3 linked regions of the Rhinolophus ferrumequinum genome follow. The protein of the gene in region 1 purifies or fractionates together with the protein of each later gene. This does not show direct contact. Links are inferred from orthologs where the notes say so. Each region holds a gene or a part of one and is shown in the gene's direction. Other genes may lie near its edges. The genes, in order: EIF3F, EIF4B and PRRC2B.

What was found.
Region 2: the proteins of EIF3F (region 1) and EIF4B purify together in Homo sapiens (affinity purification with mass spectrometry; 3 studies listed by BioGRID). This does not show direct contact. The link is inferred for Rhinolophus ferrumequinum from reciprocal best matches to the Homo sapiens genes EIF3F and EIF4B.
Region 3: the proteins of EIF3F (region 1) and PRRC2B purify together in Homo sapiens (affinity purification with mass spectrometry; 3 studies listed by BioGRID and IntAct, counting the BioPlex papers as one, with this or other methods). This does not show direct contact. The link is inferred for Rhinolophus ferrumequinum from reciprocal best matches to the Homo sapiens genes EIF3F and PRRC2B.

What each region holds. Positions count from the first base shown.
Region 1 is NC_046294.1:43,958,002-43,965,306, reverse strand, and holds the start of EIF3F (eukaryotic translation initiation factor 3 subunit F), read left to right. Parts: upstream 1-4,221; 5' UTR 4,222-4,241; coding exon 4,242-4,629; intron 4,630-7,305. UniProt on the Homo sapiens protein: Component of the eukaryotic translation initiation factor 3 (eIF-3) complex, which is required for several steps in the initiation of protein synthesis.
Region 2 is NC_046293.1:52,974,706-52,982,658, forward strand, and holds the start of EIF4B (eukaryotic translation initiation factor 4B), read left to right. Parts: upstream 1-4,952; 5' UTR 4,953-5,085; coding exon 5,086-5,098; intron 5,099-7,953. UniProt on the Homo sapiens protein: Required for the binding of mRNA to ribosomes. Functions in close association with EIF4-F and EIF4-A. Binds near the 5'-terminal cap of mRNA in presence of EIF-4F and ATP.
Region 3 is NC_046295.1:79,364,601-79,371,557, forward strand, and holds the start of PRRC2B (protein PRRC2B), read left to right. Parts: upstream 1-3,907; 5' UTR 3,908-4,059; intron 4,060-6,957.

The sequences.
Region 1 (7,305 bases):
CACAAAGGATGAGAAAGAGCATCCCTTAAGGGTGGAGGACTGGCTTAGGCAGGCTGTGAGGTGGCTGTCTCCCAGGTACCTCTCCTCCCACTCCAGGGCTCCAGTGCCCGTTGCTCAGCAGGTTCTCCCAGAGTCCAGGAAAACAGGCAGGAATGGGATTGGTCTGTCCCAGAGCCTTAACCAAACTATGGCTAGAGACAGAAGCAAGACAGCAAAGAACCAAGCCCAAGGGACCAAGATGGGAAAATGGAGTGAGACACAGCCACATAGACCATGTGACAGAAGAAACGAGTAAAGCCACTTACTGTGAAGACTCTCAGGTCTGCCTCCCCTAGAAGCCTCCCAGTCTGGAGATCGCAGGGCCAGGGACTGAGAGTCACACCTAAAGGAAGTAGAAATGATATGCAAAATAACCAATTTTAATTGGAGGCTAGAGGCAGGAAATGAAATGAAGCCTCCCTCCCTGTTAACCCTGGTCTGGCTGTGGGCAGAACTGACAACTGGTATAACAGTCCCAAAAAGGGAAGAGGTGGAGACAAAAGAAACAGAGACCAAGGATGGAAACTGTCAGCTAAGATATACAAAGAGGCACAAGAGAGAAATGAGCGGACAAAACAGTCAGAGAGAGAAACAGACAGACAGATGAAGCTAGCTGATGGGTATGGGTCTCTCTCTCTGTGTCTCTCTCTCTCTCTCTCTCTCTCTCTCTCTCTCTCTCTCTCTCTCACACACACACACACACACACACACACACACACACACCTCAAACACACACACACATTTATGCACTCCATAAATAGGGTTCTGCCTGCCTGGATCCCTCAGCATCCTGGATGTACGAGTATGCATTCCCTTGTCCTGGCCAATCAGCATCCCCAGGAAGACAATGCCAATGATCACCCTCCTTCTGCCCCTGAGCTATGTGGCTGGAGGAAAATACAAAAGCTGACCAGATCCTTGAGGTCTCCAGGCTCAGCTGGGCCCTCCCATAATTGTTCAATGCCTTTGATGGCTCACTCTCGGCCCTTCTTCCAAATACTGCCCTTTGCTCCAAGGCTGAACCCGATCTATCTATCCATTGCCATTCTCAGCAGATCACTTTGCCTCCGCTTCCCTGAGAAAAAATAAACATCATTTGACAAGAGCTCCTGCAACTCCCTTCTCTTTCCAATTCAAAGTGTCTCCGATTCTTCATCCATCGTTTTTTTCCTTTCCTACCAGAGAGAAAGGTCTTTAGACCATCGATACAAAGGCAAAGTTCAGGGTGGTGAAGAGTCCACACCCAACTCAAATCAACATACGAATGGGAAGTACCAAGGTTGTGCGTGGTCAGGTCGAGACAGCAACACCTCTTCATTGGGGATGGTGCTCTCCTCTGAATTTCTCCCCATGGAATGATCTCGGCACCACCCTGGGCTACGGCAGACCCCCATATGGCACCCATAAAGGAGGCCATATCCCGGAGTCTCTCTCCAACATATCCCTCGTCCTGCCCAAGACCATTTCTCTCATCTAGGCTTCTCCATTTGGGTCCCACTTCCTGCTTTGTTTCATTAGATAGCTTCCCTTGCTCACACTTGTATATTCAATCTTTCTCCCTTCTTGAGATTCTTACTCTTCGTTTAAAATATACTTAAAACTCTTCCAGCCTAAACTGTCCCCCTTTCCACAGCTACTGCCTTAAATGTCTCTTTTCCTTCCCAGCAACTTCCTTGAGAGAGTAGCCAGCACTTACTGCCATCAATTCAAATTGACCATTCTCTCACACCTGAATTCCAGTTTCCAAGCGCACCCCACCTTCAGTTTCACTGACAGTGCTCTACTAGGGTTGCTAAAAATCGAGGTCATCAAATCCAAGAGTCATTTTTCAATCCTCCTCTGATAAGCTGTTCACCTGTGTTTGAGGGAACTAAGAATATGTATGTTTACCCAGAGCACTGACGGGAGTAGGATTACGTGAATTTTAATTATAGAAGGTAGCTCCAAGGAGAAAGCAGTTCTTGGGCATAAGAGTTGGGGCTAAGAAGCCCAAAATCCCCCATCCACCTTGACAGCTGGACGCTGGGACTTAACCTAATTAAGGGAGTTGATAGGTTTCCTGACAGGCAGCTATTATCAACCCCGTTAGACCAAACAGGAAACGGAGACTCAGAAAAAATTATAGATTGCCCAGAGTTACACTGTAAGTTAGGATCAGAGTTCCTTCCATCACATAGCAACAATAATAGCTACCAAATAATAATAATAATAATAATAATAATAATAATAATAATAATAATAATACATCTCAATGGTGATACATCCAAAAATGAACTTGGCATAGAGGAAAAACTGAGGGTTGCTAGATGGGAGGGAAGGTAGGGATAAAGCGGAAGGTGAGGGGATTAGAGAGCACAGTCGGTAACCACAAGATGGCCACAGGGATACGAAAGTCAATTTGGGGAATGTAATCAATAATGTAAAGATTTTGTAGGGTATCTGATGGATACTTGTCTCGTTACACCTCAGGGATGATATAGATGCCTGATCACTGCACTATACACCTGAAGCGGAACAATAATGTCAACTACAATTTTATATATGTGTGTGTGTGTGTGTGTGTGTGTGTGTGTGTGTGTGTGTGTGTGTGTATACATATATATAGTTACAAGAAGTGGAGTACCGCATTAGGAATAGAGACAGTGGAAATGTAATGGCTGTGTACGATGTCAGAGGGGTAGTGGGTGGGGCGATAGGGGTTGACACTGTGTGAGGGATATAAATGATAAATGTCTATTACATTGTTTTGTGCACCTGAAACTAATAAAACAAAAGTTTAAGAAAAAAATGAACTTGGGATCTTTTCCCAAAAACTTGCTGCACTTGTAGCTTTCACTGTCTCGATTATTGACAACTTCTTCATACTAGTTGCTCAGCACAAAAAATTGGAGTCATCCTTGACTTTCTCTTTCACACCTCGCATACAATTTCTCAGAAAATCCTGTTGTCTCTACCTTTAAAATATACCTGTAGGGGGTGGCCGATTAGCTCAGTTGGTTGGAGCGGTGTTGGTACTAGCACCAAGGTTGCCGGTTCAATCCCCACATGGGCCACTGTGAGCTGCGCCCTCCTTACAAAAAAAAAAAATATATATATACCTGTAATCTGCCCACTTCTCACCACTTGCACTGCTACTGGTTTGGTGCCAACCACCGTCATCTCTCTTAGATTTGGTAATCTCATACCATGTCCCTCTGCTCTTTCTCGTCTGCCTCTCCCCAGTAACCGAGCCCCCTATTGTATTTTTCTCAAAGCAGCTATAGTGATCCTTTTAAAACTAAGACAAATCATGACCCTCCCCTGCTCAAAACTTGGCAATGGTTCCCCATTTCTTTCAAACTAAAAATGAAAGTCCTTACCCATACTGTGCCCTAGGAGGTCTTTAATGATCTCTAATCCCTGTTTAGGGGTCCATCTCCTGCTGCTCCAGGCCGATCTTAACTCTCCAGCTGCCAAATAGCCTCTTCAAACACAACAGGCCTACTCCTGCCTTCAGGGCTTTGCACTAGCTGTTCCCTCTACCTGGAAGCTCTTTTCCCCTCACACTTCATAATGGCCACCTCATTCGCCTTTTTCAAGTACACTCAAATCTCACACTGTCATTGTGATCCACCCTAATTCCTCACAACTCCTCATTACCCATTACTCTCCGCTACTTTTTCCTTTTTCTTAGAACTTCCTACCTTCTAACATATATAATGTACTTATTTGTCTCTCCCCGCTACAATGTAAACTTTTCAAGGACAACGATTTTTGTTTTGTTTACTAATATATTCCTTTAAAAAGCCTCTGGCACATATTTTATTTAATGAATAAACCACCTTAGGACCCTGTCAAGGACAAAGCCCTTTATAATAAGGCACCGTGACAGCCATTATCCCATTGAAGTCTGAAAACACGATTTGCGACACTTGTGCAGCGTTCTGGCTCCATCTGGCGACAACTATGCAGACGGAGCTGCTTCTCTTCTCCCAGTGCGGTCCCAAGTTTCTTCGGAACTATTTAGCTCGGTCTCACTGAATGCGCGTCGACCTAGATCGAAGAGCACAAACTCGGAGCCGGAAATTGTAGTGCCGTGAGAAGCATCATCAGTAACCAATAGGCACAAAGACCTTGTTCACGTGGTGCATATTCAGCCTATGGTGCTCCTAATGTTTCCAAGCTTACTCTTTTCCGCTCCAGGCTCCTTCTCTCTGGACAAGATGGCCACACCGGCGGTACCGGCGAGTGCTGCTCCCACCACTCCGACCCCAGCCATGGCTGCTGCCCCAGCCTCAGCCCCAGCCCCGGCCCCAGCCTCAGCTCCAGCGCCGGCGCCGGCTCCAGTGCCGGTTCCAGCTCCAACTCCAGCTCCATCCTCATCCCCAGACCCGGCGGCAGCAGCGGCTGCGACCGCGGCCCCGGGCCAGACCCAGGCTTCACTGCCAGCAGCAGCGCAGACCCCGGCGCAGTCGCTGGCTAGTCCTGCTCTACCCGGCCCCTTCCCCGGCGGCCGTGTGGTCCGACTGCACCCTGTCATTTTGGCCTCTATCGTGGACAGCTACGAGCGACGCAACGAGGGTGCTGCCCGAGTTATCGGGACCCTGCTGGGTGAGTAAGTGGTCAGAGAAAATTGACGTTTTCTTCTACCTCCCACCTCTCCTTTATCTGACTCCCCTTTCTTCACATCCGCGTTGATCTCTTACCTGTTTCTCCATTGGACCGTCCTGTTGGGACTCATCTTCCCAAAGAACTTGAACTTTCTTGCCTGATTGCTGTCACTTTGTGCAACATAATGTATATGAAGAGTAGTTCTGTATTAAGTAAATATCGTGTACCGAGCCATTTACATTTTAATCTTCCCAGTAGCATTTCACGTCAAGTATGATCAGCCCCAGTCTACCAAAAGTGAGTTCCAATGCTAAGTAAGGCAAAAACCCTTGACTCCCCAGTGACCACGTTTTTTCCCGCTTATCTACTAAATGTCTTTATTTTCTAGGTGTTTGCAAAGAAGTTTCTAACCAGTTGGCAAAGGGAGCATCTGTTAAGAGATATCCCTCTCAGCAAGTAAACCGATTTGGCAGGAACCCATTTAGAATTTCAGTAATAATCTGATTAACTAAGTGTGTAAGCCTGAACCCCTGTCCCTTCCTCTCCCTAATTCGTAGATGCTGTTCCCCCAGAGCTGTCTCTGATTCTCCATTTGGATACAAACAATTGTATTATGTTTATGATACTGCTTAACCTTCAAATCAAAGAATAACCTTTCCCTACCCATGTCCCAAATTTGGGGAAATAGATATTTTATGTTAAAAGTAATTTGTAAATCCAAGACGCACTAAAGAGGAATTACTGGTAATTTATCCCTTTTTCTGGATTCTGCTGGTCTCATCAAATTCATTTTCACTCCATCTAAGTCACAAATTTTAGACCCCTTTGTGCATCCACTCCAATTGTATGCATCATTTCTCTTTCTTACTCTTGAACATGTAATAGTCCTTCTACCATAGAAAACAATAGGTGTATTACAAAGAGGACACAATTTGAGGCAGATTCCATCAAATATATGCCTTGTGCCTTGGGACAAATAACCTAAAGTCTACTTCCTTCAGGGGCTACTTTAGACTTAGTCTTTGTGAAAACTTACTACAGAAAGCATCTAACTGCTGGCACACATTAGGTATGAAACTGTGGGCACACATTAGGTACGAAACGGCTGTTGGTTGCCAACCTGCACCATGTCAGGCCTATACCACCCCTGAAACACACACACATTCTCTTTTTATTTGAGAAAGTAGCATTTTGCAGAAACTTTAATCAATCCATTATTTTCCGAACATTGCCATGGTTTTTCTCAAGCGTTTGTATTTTCTTTGCCACAAGTGCCTTCCCTGCTCTCACTTGTCCGTTCAAGTTCCACTCATCTTCCAGGAAAAGTGTTCAGTATTGGTCCTACGTCCCATACTCTCACCCTCACCCTCATTCTTAACTTCCCAAAGTATGGTAGCATTCTGTGACTGTCCTGCTTTGAGCTTCTGTAATAAATGATTTTTGCATCACTGACTTGGCACTCGACAAATACTTACTCTCTTTCAGCTACACTGTCAAATTTCCCAAACTCACTGGTGCTATTTAACTAAAGAAACAATTCTCCACCCAAGGTTTGTGCTAAGTGCCCTAAATGGTACAATGACTCTAGTTAGAATAACTGTAATCTAGATCTTCAGATTCTCTTCCAAACAGGGGTCAGGTATGACAGCGGCAGTGCTTACTGAAGAATGAATCATGGATTCTGCTTGCTAGGAACTTACACATTTTCTCAGTTAGACATTAATTCATGAAAAATATTTCATTTGGTTAAATGAAGTCACTGGTGCTTTATGTACTATAAAATCGTTAGGTACTAGAATTCAAAGTTTGATCAAACGAGCTCTAGTCTAACCCTAAATTGAAGCTGAAGATACACTCTTGTATGCAGGTAATTAGAATATAATAGGATAAATGCTCTAATAGAAGGATGTCATAGTGGCATGGAAAATATAGAAGACTTAACTATTTCAGAAGCTTGAAGTGGTCAAGTCTTTCGGATGCTGCTGAGAGGTCAAATAAGATAAAGACTATGTATCCACTGGGTTCGAGGACATAGTTTCAGCAAAGGAGGCAGAAACCATAGTAAGGTGGAACTAGACACTAACGGGTATAGGCACCATTGTGGTCTGTGGTGAGGAGGGAAGCACTTGAAGCCTGGGATGGGAGATGTCAGTACATTAGAGAAAAGTAGAGAAGTCAAGGGACTAGCCGTCTTAGGTCCAGAAACACATGTGGGCAGTGGGAATAAAGTTACCAGAACTAGAATAGAAGTTTGTGGTAAAAGACTCACATCGATGAAGTTTCACAGGTAGAGGGTTCCTGGATGATGATATGGTTATGACCATGGAACCAGATGGCTGACGGGAGGTACAGGTGACGCTCTCTAAACGGTTCTCTGACTAGGCTCCTAGAGGAGTGGTCTATGTAGACATAATTAAAATCTTCCAGGTAGCCCTGCAGACTAAATTACAAGGAGAGAGTGTAGAGGCTGGAAAAATGACGGTCACAGTGTCAAGGTCTGGAGTAGACTGATAGCAGGAAGTAACAGGCGAAAGGAGACCTTGTGAAGGGAGAATAGGCCCCGCGTGATGGTTAAAGGAAGGCATTGGCGGTCACTCCAGGGCTTTAGTTCTCTGGAGAATCCTGGTGCCACTGATGCACATGACTGAACTGGGAGCTAATGAGTTCAGTGTTTTG
Region 2 (7,953 bases), on another chromosome or scaffold:
TCTTCCCACTCTAGTGACTCCCTGAGACCATGCCTCACCCAACTTGCATACCACACGAGGCTTTATCAGTGGCCGAACCTTAAGGGAGCCAGCAGGTGGTAGTAGGTCTCAAGGTGTCCTGGCTTTTTGTAGAGCTACCTCAGGCCCAGCATTGGTGGCAGCCATCCTCAGTTTACAGCATGGCCTCTCTCATGCGCCTCCAGGTTTAGCACAGACAGCGAGCAACCACTCCAAAGTGGCAGGACCACTTTGTAGCTCCTACAGCTAGTCCCCAGCTGGTCACAGGCAGTGGGTGACCTAGGCCTGCACCAGAGCCCCTTGCAAGGGGCCCCAGAACCAACATACTTGGAGGTTGGCTTCAGACCATAGCAAAGCACCACCCAATTAGCACCACAAATGGCACACCCAAAGGGTGGTCTCAACAGGCCAGAGCCCACTAGGATGAACCCATTCAGTGGAGTAAGCACTGCACAGCAGCCTATAAGCTGTGGACATGGCCAAACCCCACAGCCAATCAGCCTGAGGGTCAATCCCATCCAGTAATATGCCAATAGCAATCAAGGTTCAACTACAGCAGGAGGGCACACACAAACCACACAAGGGACACTCCTGAAGCACCCAGAGCAGGTGACCAAGGAGACTGTGGCAGGGCCCCACAGGGCACCTCCTGCATAAGGCCACCAGCCAAGAGACATAGGAGACATAGCAGATATACCTAATACATAGAAACAAACACAGAGAGGTAGCCAAAATAAGGAAACAAAGAAATTGTGTCCCAAATGAAAGAACAGGAGAAAACTCCAGGAAAAGAACTAAACAAAATGGAGGCAAGCATCCTACCAAAAATACAGTTCAAAACAATAGTTATAAGGATGCTCAAGGAACTTAGAACTTCAAAAAAAGAGACAGCAAGCATAAAAAAGGACATAGAAACCATAAAAAAGAACAAGTCAGAAGTGAACAATCCAAAACTGAAATGAAGAATGCACTAGAAAGAATCATCAGCAAACTAGATGAAGCAGAGGATCAAATCAATGATTTGGAAGACAGACAAGGTAGCAGAAAACACCAAGTCAGAGCAGCAAAAAGAAAAAAGAATTTTAAAAATGAGCATAGCTTAAGAGACCTCTGGGACAACATCAAGCATAACAACATTCACATCATAGGAGTACCAGGAGAAGAGAGAAAGCAAGGGATTGAGAGCATGTTTGAAAAAATAATGACTGAAAACTGTCCTAACCTGGCAAAGGAAATAGACATACAAGCCCAGGAAGCACAGAGTCCAAAACAAAATGAACGCAAACAGGCCCACGCGAACACACATAATAATTAAAATGGCAAAGGTTAAACATAAAGAGATAATCCTAAAAGCAGCAAGAGAAAGGCAACTAGTAACTTATAAGGGAGCTCCCATAAGATTGTCAGCTGATTTCTCAACAGAAACTTTGAAGGCCAGAAAGAATTGGCACAAAATATTCAATGTGATGAAAAGCAAGGACCTACAACCAAAGTACTGTACCCAGCAAGGCCGTCATTTAGAATCGAATGACAGATATTAAAGGACAGATAATAAAAAGGATCCCAGATAAGAAAAAGCTAAAGGAGTTCATCATCACCAAACCAGTATTAAAAGGAGTGTTAAAGGGACTTCTTTAAGACGGAGGGGAAAAAGATCAAAATTATGAATAATAAAATGTCAATAACTATATATCTATCAACAATTACTTTCAATGGAAATGGATTAAATGCTCCAATCAAAATACATAAGAGTGCTGAATTGATAAGAAAACAAAACCCTTTCATATGCTGCCTATAAGAGAATCACTTCAGATTGAAAGACACACACCGATGGAAGGCAAAAGGATGGAAAAAGATATTTCGTGAAAATGGAAACAGACAGAAAACAACAACAAAAAGCTGGGGTAGCAATACTTATACCAGAAAAAAAAATAGACTTTAAGACAAAGGCTGTAACAAGACAAAGAAGGACCCAATAATCCCACTTCTGAGTATTTATCTGAAGAAACCCAAAACACTACTTCAAGGTACCTGTGCATCCATATGTTCATTACAGCATTGTTTACAATGGCCATGATGCGGAGGTAACCTGGGTGTCTGCCAATGGAAGAATGGATAAAGAAGAGGTGGTACATATACAGAGGGTGCCAAAGAAATGTATACACATTTTAAGAAAGGAAAAAACTGTATTAACATTGTAATACTCAATATATACTGATAACAAAAATGAATACAAGTCATGTGTATACATATTTTTGGCACCACCGGTATACAATGAAATATTGCTTGGCCATGGAAGGGAATAGATTCTTGCAATTTGCCAGTGGCATGGATGGACCTGGAGGGTATTGTGATGAGTGGAGTGTTAGACAGAGAAAGATAGATGCAACGAGATTTCACTTATGTGTGAAATCTAAAGAACAAAGTAAACAAATAAAACAGAAATAAACTCCTAGATACAGAGAACATTTTGATGGTTGCCAGAGGAGAGGGAATTGGAGATGTGAGTGAAAAGGGGGAAGGAATTAAGAAGTACAAATTGGTTGTTACAAAGTCATGGGGATGTAGGGTATAGCATAAGGAATATAGTCAATAATATTGCAATAACTATGTATAGTGTCGGATGGGTACCGGATTTGTTGGGGTGATAGATGGGAGGAGGTCTGGGGGCAGGATGAAAAAAGTGAAGGGATTAAGAGGTACAAATTGGCAGTTACAAAATAGTCATGGGGATGTAAAGTAAAGCATAGGGAATATAGTCAATAATATGGTAATAACTATGTATAGTGCCCGGTGGGTACTAGACTAGTCAGGGGGATCACTTCTTAAATTATATAAATGTCTAACCACTATTCTGTACACCTGAAATTAATATAAAATAATACTGAATGTCAACTGTAATTGAAAAAATTTTTGAAAAGGGGAACGGAAACAAGAGGTCCAGATTTCCAGGTATAAAACAAGTCATAGAGATGTAATATACAGCATAGGGAATATAGTCAATAATATTGTGATAGCATTGTATAGTGTCAGATGGTTGCTGGATTTATCATAGTAATCACTTCTTTAGGTATATAAATGTTGAATGACTATGATGTACCCTTGAAATAATATAATATTGTATGTTAGCTATATTTTTAATAAAAATCTTTTTAAAAACATTTTAATTTCCCTTAAAATTGTAAGTAAAACAAATATTCGAGTCAAAGAATATGTTTTAGTGTATAATATTAATATATTTGTCTTTAAACCAACATAATCATAAAATATAATTTTTAATATTGTTTTTAAGTAGAAAGGTGTCTGTGAAGGAAAAAGTGCCTAGAGTCCATGAAAAGTTATAATGGTGTCCTGTCATCAACAATCTTTTGCCTAGTCTTTCCCTTCCATTACTGCATCTGTATAATCCACTCTCCATTCAGTAGCCCTGAGTATTCTTCCTGTGGGTGTTTTGTGTTTTTTTTTTTTACATTTAAGTATAACTTCTGTAAGTGCATAACTCTTAAGTGTACTATGCGATGAATTTTTACATAAATATACACTCATGTAACCACCACCCACATCAAGATACTGATCTTTTTCAAAATTTTATTTCAAGTCATGACATTCTCTTGTATAAAATCCCTCCATGCTTTCCCAGCCCACTTGGAATAAAATCCAAACTCCTAAACCTGGTTTACAAAGCCTCACATTATCCAACCCATACATATATCTGGAACTTCATCTTGTACTACTCTCCCCACTCCCTTAACATACTCCACTGCCTTTAAACTCCTCAATTTGCGGAGCAGCTGGTCGGCGTAGTGGTTGGAGCGCGGTGTTCATGGCACCAAGGTCACCAGTTCGATTCCCACATGGGCCAGTGAGCTGCGCCCTCCACAACTAAACTGAAGAAACAACAATTTGACATGGAGCTGATGGGTCCTGGAAAAACACACGGTTCCCCAATAATCCCCAATAAAAAGCTTTAAAAAATTTTTTTTTAAATTCCTTAAGTTGCCAAGATGTTCCTACCTTGGAGGTTTTGATCTAGCTATGCACCCTCAGCTTTCACCTAAAACTCTTCCTAAAGTTGTTCACAGGGTGGGCTATTTGTAATTCAGATCTATTTAAATGTCACTTCCTCAGAGGCCTTCCCCAATTAGGCAATCTAGAATTACACCCAATCATCTTTTATCAAATCACCTTAATTACCTAGAGTGCTTATCGTTTATAGTATTTTTTCCTTCACTGCTTATTGTCTGCCTTTCCCTCACCGAACTATAACTTCCTTTGGGGCAATTTCGTTCTCTTGTACTCAACAAAGCCAGTAATAGTGCCTGACACATGGTAGATGCCCAATAAAATTTTTCATTGAATGAAATTCTAATATATGATAAAATGTAGCATTAGCTAGAGAAATCATAGGTAGCACTCCTTTCTGAAATTATAGGGCCTGAGTTTGATTTAAACCAGCCAGTAAAATGGAGGATTAAAAGAAGTAAAAAAGAAGTAAAAACCGATGGCAATGAAGTGTTCTGTATTTGTTACTTTTTTATTCCTTCTAAATATGCCCAATAAAAACCATCCTTACCCAGGATAGTGGGCTTGTTTTGCTTCAACAAAAAGTGATATAAAAAGAAATTCGGAATCTTCGCTTTCATAAAATCAATTGAAGCACACCGATTCCAGGTTCCAGACCGCCTCCATTCGGTCCAGAGAACTGTCCTAGCCAGCGGGGCCCCTCCCCTTCCGTTTACCCCCACCGGCCGGAAGTCAGCGAAGGAGACCCCGCCCCGTACTCAGACCCTGCCCCGGGTTCGCGCGTAGCCCTACGTAAAGCAGTACAGGTTTCGCGACAGCCCAGGCCCCACCCCTTTGGCCACATGTCGCGCAGGTCTTCCGGTCGGACGCCGCGCCACCTCCTCGCGCTGCTTTACGAACCTAGAGCAGCACCGCCCCGCCTCTCTGTTCTTCCTCTTCACCTCCCCGCCCCCTCCCAGTTTTGCGTCTCCTAGTCCGACGCGCCCGCTATAATCACGTGATTGCCTCATCCGGGTCCTTTGCGTTCTCTCTCCCTCTCCCAACATGGCGGCCTCAGGTGAGTGAGCGGCTGAGCTCGGCCAAGGACCGGGCTCCCAAGCCACTCTCCGAGCCTGCTCCACTGATCCCCTGGAGTCGGGGAGTGGGCGGCACCACTTCCCTTTGGATCTGGGAGCTGCGGCAGGCTGGCGGCTTGGCCGTGTTAGGTTTTCGCCTCGGGATGTTTGGGGGGGAGGGGAAGGACACCCTCCCCCTCGCACTCTTTTCACCCCGTCTGCGCGAGGTTGGAGCGGGGAGTAATGATGGACTCTGGCTTGAGTTGGAATGAGGAGGAGGCGCAGAAAGATCTACAGGGGGCGTGAGGCCTTCTCATAGATGTGAAGCACTGTGCCCGCGTGGAGGAAGGAAGGAGGCGGTTGGCGCGCGGACGGGTGCACACTAGACTAGGTCCCCGAGGCGCGAGGCCGTTGCGGACAGGAGTGGGGGCAGGGGAAAAAAGGGGGGGCAGTTACAACACGATCGCGAGTCGGTGGAGGGGCGGAGGAAGGCAGCGGTGCGCGTGCGCGCTAGGCGAACCGAGGGTAGTGGAGACGGGCGCGCCTTAAAAGCACGCGCGAGAGCGCAGATGGCAAGATTTTACGCGTCTCTGTTGGTTTCTTTTATATCCTTTCACTTTCTATTCTTCATCTTTTAGAATGGGCCCGGCCCCTGTATTCTCCCAAGGGATATATGTGTTAGGTTTGGGGGTTGAAGCTACTAGAGTTAAGTGGGGGTAGGGAACACATTGGTGCGCCCACGTGTTGGGGAGGAAGCAAGGCTAGACAGATTTCTTCTAGGCTTTTTTTCCTTAATTCAATCAACACATTTTTACTGAGCGCAAACTATGCCAGGCGCGGTTCTAAGTGTTGGAGATACAATGGTGAACAAGCCCCGATTCCTTGACAGCTTCCATTTTGATGGAATTTTTATAGCTCCAGTGGTGGTGTTCAGCCCTTTTTTTCTTTTTAAGATAATTGAACGACGGTTAGGAGGTGGTTTTAAAATAATGCTAGTGGCTGGAGTTGGTTCCTGATTTAGACCTCTTAGGGATAGGGAATATCACTCATAAAAGTCCACTTGCATTTCTGATGCACTTAGCAGTGAGCTATGTAACATTTTGTAGTATTAATTTTAGTTTGGGGGATTTATAGTCGACACTCCTTATCAGCGGATTGAACCATGGGGATAGAAAATATTGGGGGGAATGTTAAGTTGTTCCTGATGTGTGCTGTGTAGTTAGCCTATGATAGTAGTCTGTAGTGAACATGGGTAGACTTGTCATTATTCCCTAAATACAGTATATAAGAACTATTTACATAGCATTTACATTGTATTAGGTATAAGTAATATTGAGATGATTTAAAGTATATGGGAGGATTGTGTGGGGTGTGTGCAAATACTATGTCATTTTATTAATATATAAAGGACTTGAGTATCTGAGGATTTTAATATTCAGGGAAGTCCTGGAACCAATCCCCCTACGGGTTTGGCAGATCAACTAATTTCTTTTCCCTGGCATGACCCTGCATTCTATGAAACATTTATCGAACCCTTGCTATCTCTGCACATTCACTTCCCACCAAGAATTATCTTCTCTGTTATTACATAGGATACTAAGGATTATGTATGTCTTTGGAAAACGAGGGAATTGAGGTGTATTTTAACATAATACCTTTCATTGGTGTAGCACTGGACAATTGACCAAGCACTTTTGTGTCTATTGTCTCATTTGATGCTTTGTGAGATAAATGTAGGCAGGTAATATCTACCAGATGAGGAAGATGAAATTATTTGTTCAAGGTCACACTGTATGCACATGGCAGAGCAAGGTCAAAGTCTTTGAGACTCCTGACTCTTCATTATCAACTTGGAAATAACAAGGTTGGCTTCCATATCATAAGTTTGGGGTGCTGCCCTAAAGCTTCATCTGAAGCTTATTTGGCCTGGATTTACCATCTTAATGGCTTAGTGTCATAATTTAGTGAAAAGCCTATACTCCCCTTTCTCCATAACTTTTGTGGAATTTTTAGAAGTGGAAGAAACGTTAGCAATCCGCCTTAGTTTTACAGAGTTGCGTGAAATCCAGACTGGTTAAAGGGATTTACTTAGTGATGTCTCCTCCTGTTCTTCCATATTTACCCACTTGGAAACCCTCATCTCCTTAATCCCATAAATCTTTAGATTGTGTAGTATGTATAAGGGACACTATGCTAGTGTCTGAGCACAAGGTTACATCTGACAGTCTGTCCTTGAGGAATCTGGGATTAGCAAAATTCTTTCCTCACCTGGAATCTTTTCCAATCAATTGCATTGACTTTGATAAGTGACCCGTATTCCCATATATTGGGCACTCAACCAATATGGCTGTACTAAAACTATAAAACTTTCAGTGTGTGTTTTCAGTATACTTTTTAATGTCAAATTTGTTAGATACAGGTTAATAATTTTTGAGACTAAAATGCTTTGAAATTGGAAATCGTGAATGGATGCCTATAGAAGTTCTTTCGTTTGTATAACACTTCAAAAATGCCATTATATATAGGATCTTGTTTCATTGATTTTTTTATGGAGAGGATGGTGTCCAATGGTAGTTTTCATGCATGCTGACCCTTATAGTTAAAAGTAGTTTCATTGGTTGCCATTTATGCCGTTTACATATTAACCTATTTTCAAATCCCATCCTTTACCATATGTTATTCTGGGAGTAAGATAACCAGAATCAGAATGCCAAGACTAAAACTCCCGAATACAGGGAGTAGTGTCAAAGGAAAAGAATATTTCTAAGTAAAGTCATTTAAGTATATACTTTTAAACAGCTTTGAGATATAATTCACGTACCATATATGTATATCTGAAAACATCCTAGAATTCTCT
Region 3 (6,957 bases), on another chromosome or scaffold:
ATAACAAATTGTTGTTGTTTTAAGCCACTAAGTTTTGGAGCTGTTTATTACACAGCACTTGATGACTGATAAAGGAAGCTCGCACATGCCTGTGAGTAAGAAGGAATGACAGTGGTAACCAACATGTGCTGAATGCCTGCTGGTCACCAGCTTGCGCCGACAACAGTGCACACCATCTCATTCAATTCTCACAACAAACCCCTTTCCCGGTTTTCACAGGCTCAGAGAATTATAGTCACTTGTCTAAAGACACACAGTAAATGAAGACAGAGACAGATTCAACTCAAGTCTGTCTGATTCCAAATCCAGCACTCTTAACCACGGATTCGTGCTGGGGGAAGCCTGGTAGAAGGGCACAGACCCCATACCTGCTTCTGGCTTTAGCTTGGACAGGCCTCCCTCAGAAACGTAGGTGAGCTGGCTGGACCTCTGCGTGCACGGGCATGTCTGGACAACATTTGGGCTCAGAGTGGCTGGAGGCATGGCCTTGAAGCCAAACAGAGCCCACGTGAGCGGTCTCCAGGGCTGCCCCCAGGCTCTGTGCCTGAGCCAGGGCTTTACAGGCTTGTTCTGTGTTTGTGTTCACAGTGTCAAGTGATTCCCCCACTTCCCTGTCCTGCAGTGGGACACTGATATGCCAGGGCTTTCTGGCGTCGGGCTGACCAGAGAGGCTCTCCTAAATACAGTAGTAGCACTCAGTATCTGGCCACCAGCAGTGGTGGGTGAAGGTCCTGGAGCCTCAGTTTACTTATCTGTAAAACGGGGGTGATCACAATCCTAACTCACAAAAACATGGTGAAGAGGCTGAGATATACAGAAAGTGGGTGCCCTTAACACGTGTGCATTTTCCTTTCCAGCTCTTCTTTCTTTTTCAGCTCTGTCACCAGCTCCGTGTGAATTTGGGCAAGTCCCTAAGCCTGTCTGTGCTTGAATTTCCTCCTCTGAGAGTGCTCAAAAAGTGGTAACTATTACTGACGGAGGGATGAGAGGCACCCAGCAAAGTCTTAGACTCTCCAGGCAATGGAAGAGTGGAAGCTTTTCTGGCTTCCCTTTGAGGCCAGGACTGGACATGGCACCAGCAGAGGTCAAATTCCTTCTTTGAGTCTCAAGATTCTGTCTCCTTTCATTTTGTTTCCTTCTTTCATCCCATAACCTCTCATCAAACACCTATTATGTGCCACTGAGTGTGTGCTAGGTGCCAGGAATTTAAAAATAAACAATTCAGTGACCCTGTTTGGATGAGCTCCTAGTCTTGTAGGGATACAGACATGTGTAGAAATGACAGTCACCAGCAAGACTAGGACTGTGTGCTGGGGGTTAGAGAAGAAGAAACCCAAGTAAAGGAAAGAGAACACAGAGCATAAGGAGGCAACTTTCCAGATGAGTTTGTAAAAAAGGACCCAAATCTGATGAATCACAGGACTTTGCATATTCCACGTGAAAATAATGCAAAGGACATTTACATCTAGCCATACTATGGTTTAAAAAAGAAAATCATGGCTAAGGAAATACATGACAAGCATTACAAAAAAATATTAAATTTCATTGTATCCAAAGACAATGATCGTGTTTTGAAAAACAATAAAATTATGTTTACATAAAATACGCATTAGGCACGAGGGATGGGCGGAATTCCCCCTCTGGCTCAGTTTGGGAGTCTGAAAAGATTTCTCCACCCATAAGCAGAGTTGCAAGTTTCCTCATACTTAAGAGGAAAAAACTGACAAAAACGAAATAAACTCTTGCTCGTTGGTTCATGCCAACTGTCCCCAGCTTTGTACTGCGTGGTCCTCTCATTCCTTATGTTCTTTCAATATTCCTGCTCTGGATTGCTGCTGTTTCCTTAGTGTAACTTTGACAATATAGAATGTCTCCTTGAATGTCTCCCTTATCTTGCGAGGAGTCTCCTGGGACTACATGACCTCAAGGTCCAGCCTTGGTCCAGCCCTCTTGTTCTGCTGTCTCCTTTCTCCTTTCTCCCTCTGTCCTCTCTGGGTCGTGAGCTCTGGGAGGCTTTGGAGGAGCACCGTCAGAGTCCTGGAGAGACCCCAGTGCCAGCCCTGGCTGACAGCCTGACCACAGACTGTGGCCCCCATACCCACCCCAGCATCTTAGCTGTGCCTTCCCTGAGGAAAGGCTCCAACCTCAAAGGCTGGCACTGCTGGGTTCAAATCCTTGTTCCACACCCAGGTCCTTTGTGACCTTGTCTAAGGTCCCTTAACTTCTGACCTCCATGTCCTTATCCAGAAAGTGGAAACAATAATAACCATCTCCCAAGGATAAAGTTATTTCTTGCAAAGTACTTAGCAACATGCCTGGTCCAGAAAAGGTGCTCAGTAAACAGCACCTATCATTGTTGTCACCGCAGAGAAATGCAGAAAGACAAGGACTTCCTGAATCCCAGACAAAAGCCGTAGGGTTTTTGGGTACAAGTGATGCCTCTGCTGCCATTTCACTTCCAGGGACCTAGCAACCCTTGCTGTCCCCAGAGGGCGTCATTCCCCTTCCAGATCTGCTAGAGGAGCAGAGCATTTGCTGACTTGCCTTTCTACCCCCTTGCTCTTCTCTGTCTTCCAGAGCACTCAAGGGCCATCAAGCTTTTCATCTCACCTTCCCTCTTGTCAAATAATAAAGGGGTAACCTCCGATTCTTAGTGAGTCCCAGAGTTCCTTCCTTCACAGCCAATCAGGTCAAGACCCAGACGCACATTCCTACATTCAAGAAACCAACCAATATTTGTTGAACACCTACTGTGTGCCAGGCGCTGTGCTCAGTGCTAACCTTAACTCGAGTCAGGCTGAAATGGATGGACTTTCCTTCCAGGTTTTGCTGTGTGGCCTTGGGCAAGTCTCCATTTTCTCACCTGTGAATTGTGACGTTAACACCTGTCCCAGGGTTGGGATTAAAGGAGACAAACCACCCCAAGCCATTTCAGAGGGCATGGCCTGCGGCTGGGGCATATGGACAAATGCCAGAGGGACAAGCTGTTTTTTCTAACCGCCAATGTAACTAGAATAAGAAGCCAGAGAATCCTCCTTAGCTCCGCCCCCTCTAGGATCGACCTCAGACCCGCCGACCTCAGACCCGCCACCGCCGCGGAGGTGACCAAGAGTGGAGTACATCCTCCCAGACCTTTTGTTTCGCATTCACACAAATACGCACTCAAGGGGATGCGTTTATTATTTTTCATTTTACAAAAATGGCATAAAGTATCTATATTGTGCAACAACCTTGCTTTTGAATTAACAATGTATCATTTCGGTTTCCTTTCCCTGCATGTACCACACACATATTTGAACAAAATCTCGCTCTGGGTCTATCAGGAGGCGCTGCAGTTCTGAAGGGGGAGGGGGCGGAGATGAGGGCACCCCCCCGCTCCCAGCCCTCCCTCCGTCTGGACCTCACCCGTCCCGGGTCCCCCTCTATCCCAGCCCCCCTTCTTCCGGTCCACCCTCCCCCACCCGCTCGCCCCAACCCCTTCCCGCGGGCCTCCTCCCCTCCCCCTTCTCTCCCGGTTCCCTTCCCGGAGCCCCAGTGCCGAGTCTCCCCAGGCCCAGGCCCCCTCTCCCGGCTCCCTCCGCTGTCTCCCGGCCTCTCGTCCCTCCCCGGGACCCCTCCCCCGGCTCGCCTCCCGGCCCCCTTCTTTCCTTCCCCTCCCCCGTCGTCCGCGCCGGCCCCTCCCCCTCCCCGGGACCCCGGCCCCTCCGGCCGGGGGCGGGCGGGCGGCTGGCGCTCCCGGGAGGCGCGGCAGGGGGCGCTGCGCGGGCGGAGGCGGCTGCGGGCGGCGGCGGCGGCGGCGCGAGGAGGAGGCCGGAGGAGGCGGGGGCGGCGGCAGGCGGGGGGCGGGGAGCGGCGCGCGAGAGGGAGGCGAGCGGCGAGACACAGGCTCCGAGGCTCCAGCGAGCGACGAGCGAGCGACGAGCGAGCCGGCAGGGAGGGAGCGAGCGAGCGAGCAGCCGCGCCGCCGCCTCGCAATCCGCCGCCATCCCGCCGCCTCCGCGCCCGACCGCCGCCCGACCGCCATCGCCCGGCCCAGTCGCGCCCGCGGACCCAGACCAGGTGGGCCCGGGGCGCGGGGCGCGGGCGGCGCGGGCCGGAGGGGCGGCGGGCGCGGCGCTAAGATGGAGGCGGCGCGGCCGGGCTTTGTCTGGGCCGCGCTGGCTGACGGACGGCAGCCCCGGGCGCCGCCGACCTTTGTCCGCGAGCGCGCCCGCCTCGGGCCGCCCCGCGCGGTCGCCGTTGGCCCGCCGGCCGGCCGGGGGCTGCGGGGCCGGGCCCGGGGCGGGCGGCCGGGCCCGCTCGCCATTGTTGTGGCGGCGCCGCGCGGCCTCGGCGCGGGCGGCGGGCGGCGGGTCGGGGCCGCTCCTCACGCCGCCGCCGGGGCCGGGCGGGGGCGCAGCGGCTGGAGGTGCGGAGCGGCCCCGCGGTCCCAGGAGTCACCGTGCCGCCCCCGCGGCCCGGCGGCCCGGGATTATCCCGGACGCTTCTCCCGCACCCCCATCAACCGCACCTGGTCACTTTTCAAACCGCCCCCCGCGGGGTCGGGCGACCCCTGGGCGGGAGGGCCGGCGGCAGCCCGGTCCCCGGGAGGCTGAAGTTGGTCGGGGTGCTGGCCTGGGGGCCGGGGCCGGGGGTAACAGCCGCCGACGCCGTCGCGGTTGCAGTGCGGGAACAAGAGGGTTATTTTGAAAATGCTTAATGCTCTATTGCTGAAAATGTGTAATAATAAACAGGATGTCGCTACTGGGCCCCGCCAGATGGGTTTTTTTCTTTCTCCTTTTTTTCTTTTTCCCCCCTCTCCCTTCTAAGTAAGAAACAGCACTGTTGAGATGGTGGGCCTCTGAGCAGCGGATTTGCCGACGTAACGTTGGAAGGTGTTTTCTTTTCTCCCTCTCCCTGAATATCGTGGGAGGTCCGAGCCCACCTTTAGACAAGAAGAGGGGGTGTATTTCAAGCGGATGGTTAGGTTGAAGGAAGTCGGAGAAGGGGGGCTGGGGACGCTCTCCAGTGTGTCATTTGCTAAATGGCTGCCTGGGAGAAACCTTTAAAAGCCTTTGGTTTATAGGATTGTTAACCGTCCCTGAGATTTTTTTTTTTCCTTTAAGGTTTTATGTGCATTTTATGTGGCTTTACACATGCTCCAGCTCGGTTTTTGTAACCATCCATTTGAAGTCTTAGCGTGGTTTCTCCAAATCCGACTGCAGCCATTCAGCCCTGTCCGTGCACAGTGGTGCGAGGTGGGACAGAGGAGGCCCAGGCCTCCGGCGTCTTCTGAGCCTTCAGTGGCATAAATAGGGACATTGCACTCTCCACCTCCTGGGGCTGGGAAGATGGTGAAGGGCCTAGCAGAGGGCCTGGCACACAGTTGGTGCTCAATAGGTGTCCCTCCTACGGCTGCTTGTATAACTGCCGTCAGGTCCTAGGATGGAAGTTAGCCATTTGTGGTGCCACCCACAGAGCCTAGCCATCCTTCTGATGCCACAGGTGCTGGGCTCTAGCCTGGACAAGGGCGAAAGGATTCAAGACACTGAACAGCAGAACAGGCCCCTTGCTTATTCAGTGCTGGGACTGTGGGAGACAAGTAGGGGACAGCAGCATTTGGAGCCCCCCAGGACTAATAGACCTGGAGTGTGTGATACGAGGTCCCTGGGCTTGGATCCCGGGTGCCTGCCCTTTGGGGTTGTTCCTACACAGAGCTAGAACAGTACAAGAAGCAGAGGCCCAGGGAGTCCTGCCTTTTGAGGATAACTGCTTTCCTTTGGGAAGGGCAGATAATCATTTGGGGAGCCTCTGCTTGTTTGGGCAAGCCTGTCTCTTGGAGCTTGGATTCTGGCCCTCATTGGGTTACCTTATGCAAGGCTCTGAGCCTCAGCTCTTGCATCTGTAAAATGGGAATAATTATGCTTTGTTTTAATTAATCTGTTGGGGCTCTTGGGATCCTCCTGTGCTATTTGTGGCAAAGTGCTTCCACGTGGAGGGGGTGATGAAAATGTACGTTGTTTTTGTTGGTTACCTAGTTTTCTGGTTCCTTGTTCCTTATTCCTGATCTTTTTCTCCAGTTCTCATTGATGGAACTGTGACCTTCCCACCCCAAATTCTATCTCCGGCTCATGTTTTTATGTCACGTCCATTCAACTGCCTGAAAGCGCCAGAATGGCTTAGAAGAGCTACAGTGCTCAGCCAAACCTGGCTGTCAGCTGTTTATAGGAGTCCATAGAAAGGACAGAGGTTAAAGGAGAGATTGACTCCAGTCTTGGCCACCGGTGAGGGATGAGACCTGGTTATCTCTGGGCGAAACCTGTAGCTTGTTTGTAAATGGCCCCGAGACTGCTTGGATTATAGTGCTTCTGCAGTCTGATGCGAAATTTGGTTATTTTGGCATTGCTACAACCATCTTGGTTTTGTTTTGTTCTTTTTTTCAAACCTCCTTGTAAGCTCCTCCAGGCCTCCGGGCTGTGGGACTGAGACATTTTAACAGGGTCATGTCATCCTTTCAGTTTTCCCTGCTTCCTGCCTCCTGGCCCATCCTTTCTACCTGATTTCATTCCCGCCCAGTCTGGCTCTGGGCGGTTTGTTAGCTGGTTGGTTAGGGAAGGAGATGAATCTGCTGCCCCTTTCACCAAGCTATTTGCTTACCTGTGTGTTTTAGTTATCCATGGGCTCCGGAACTGCACGGTGAAGGGGGCCTTGTGTGCCCATTGGGAGGGCCTGCCATCTCCTGCAGCTCCCTGGTCCTCTCCAGTCTCCTTTGAACCCAGATGGGTCAAAGGAAAAGCCTGGGGAAGGAAGAGCCAGAAAACCTTGGGAGAGTGGAATTTCAGGAATGGCGAGTCAGAACTAGTTCCAGCATGGTCGAGTTCCTTGGGCCTGGCTGAGGGTTTCTTTTGGCTATGCCGTTTGGTTCGTCTGTTCACACAACTCCCTTTTAAATTTCAGTTCTTTTTTTCCCCTGAAGGA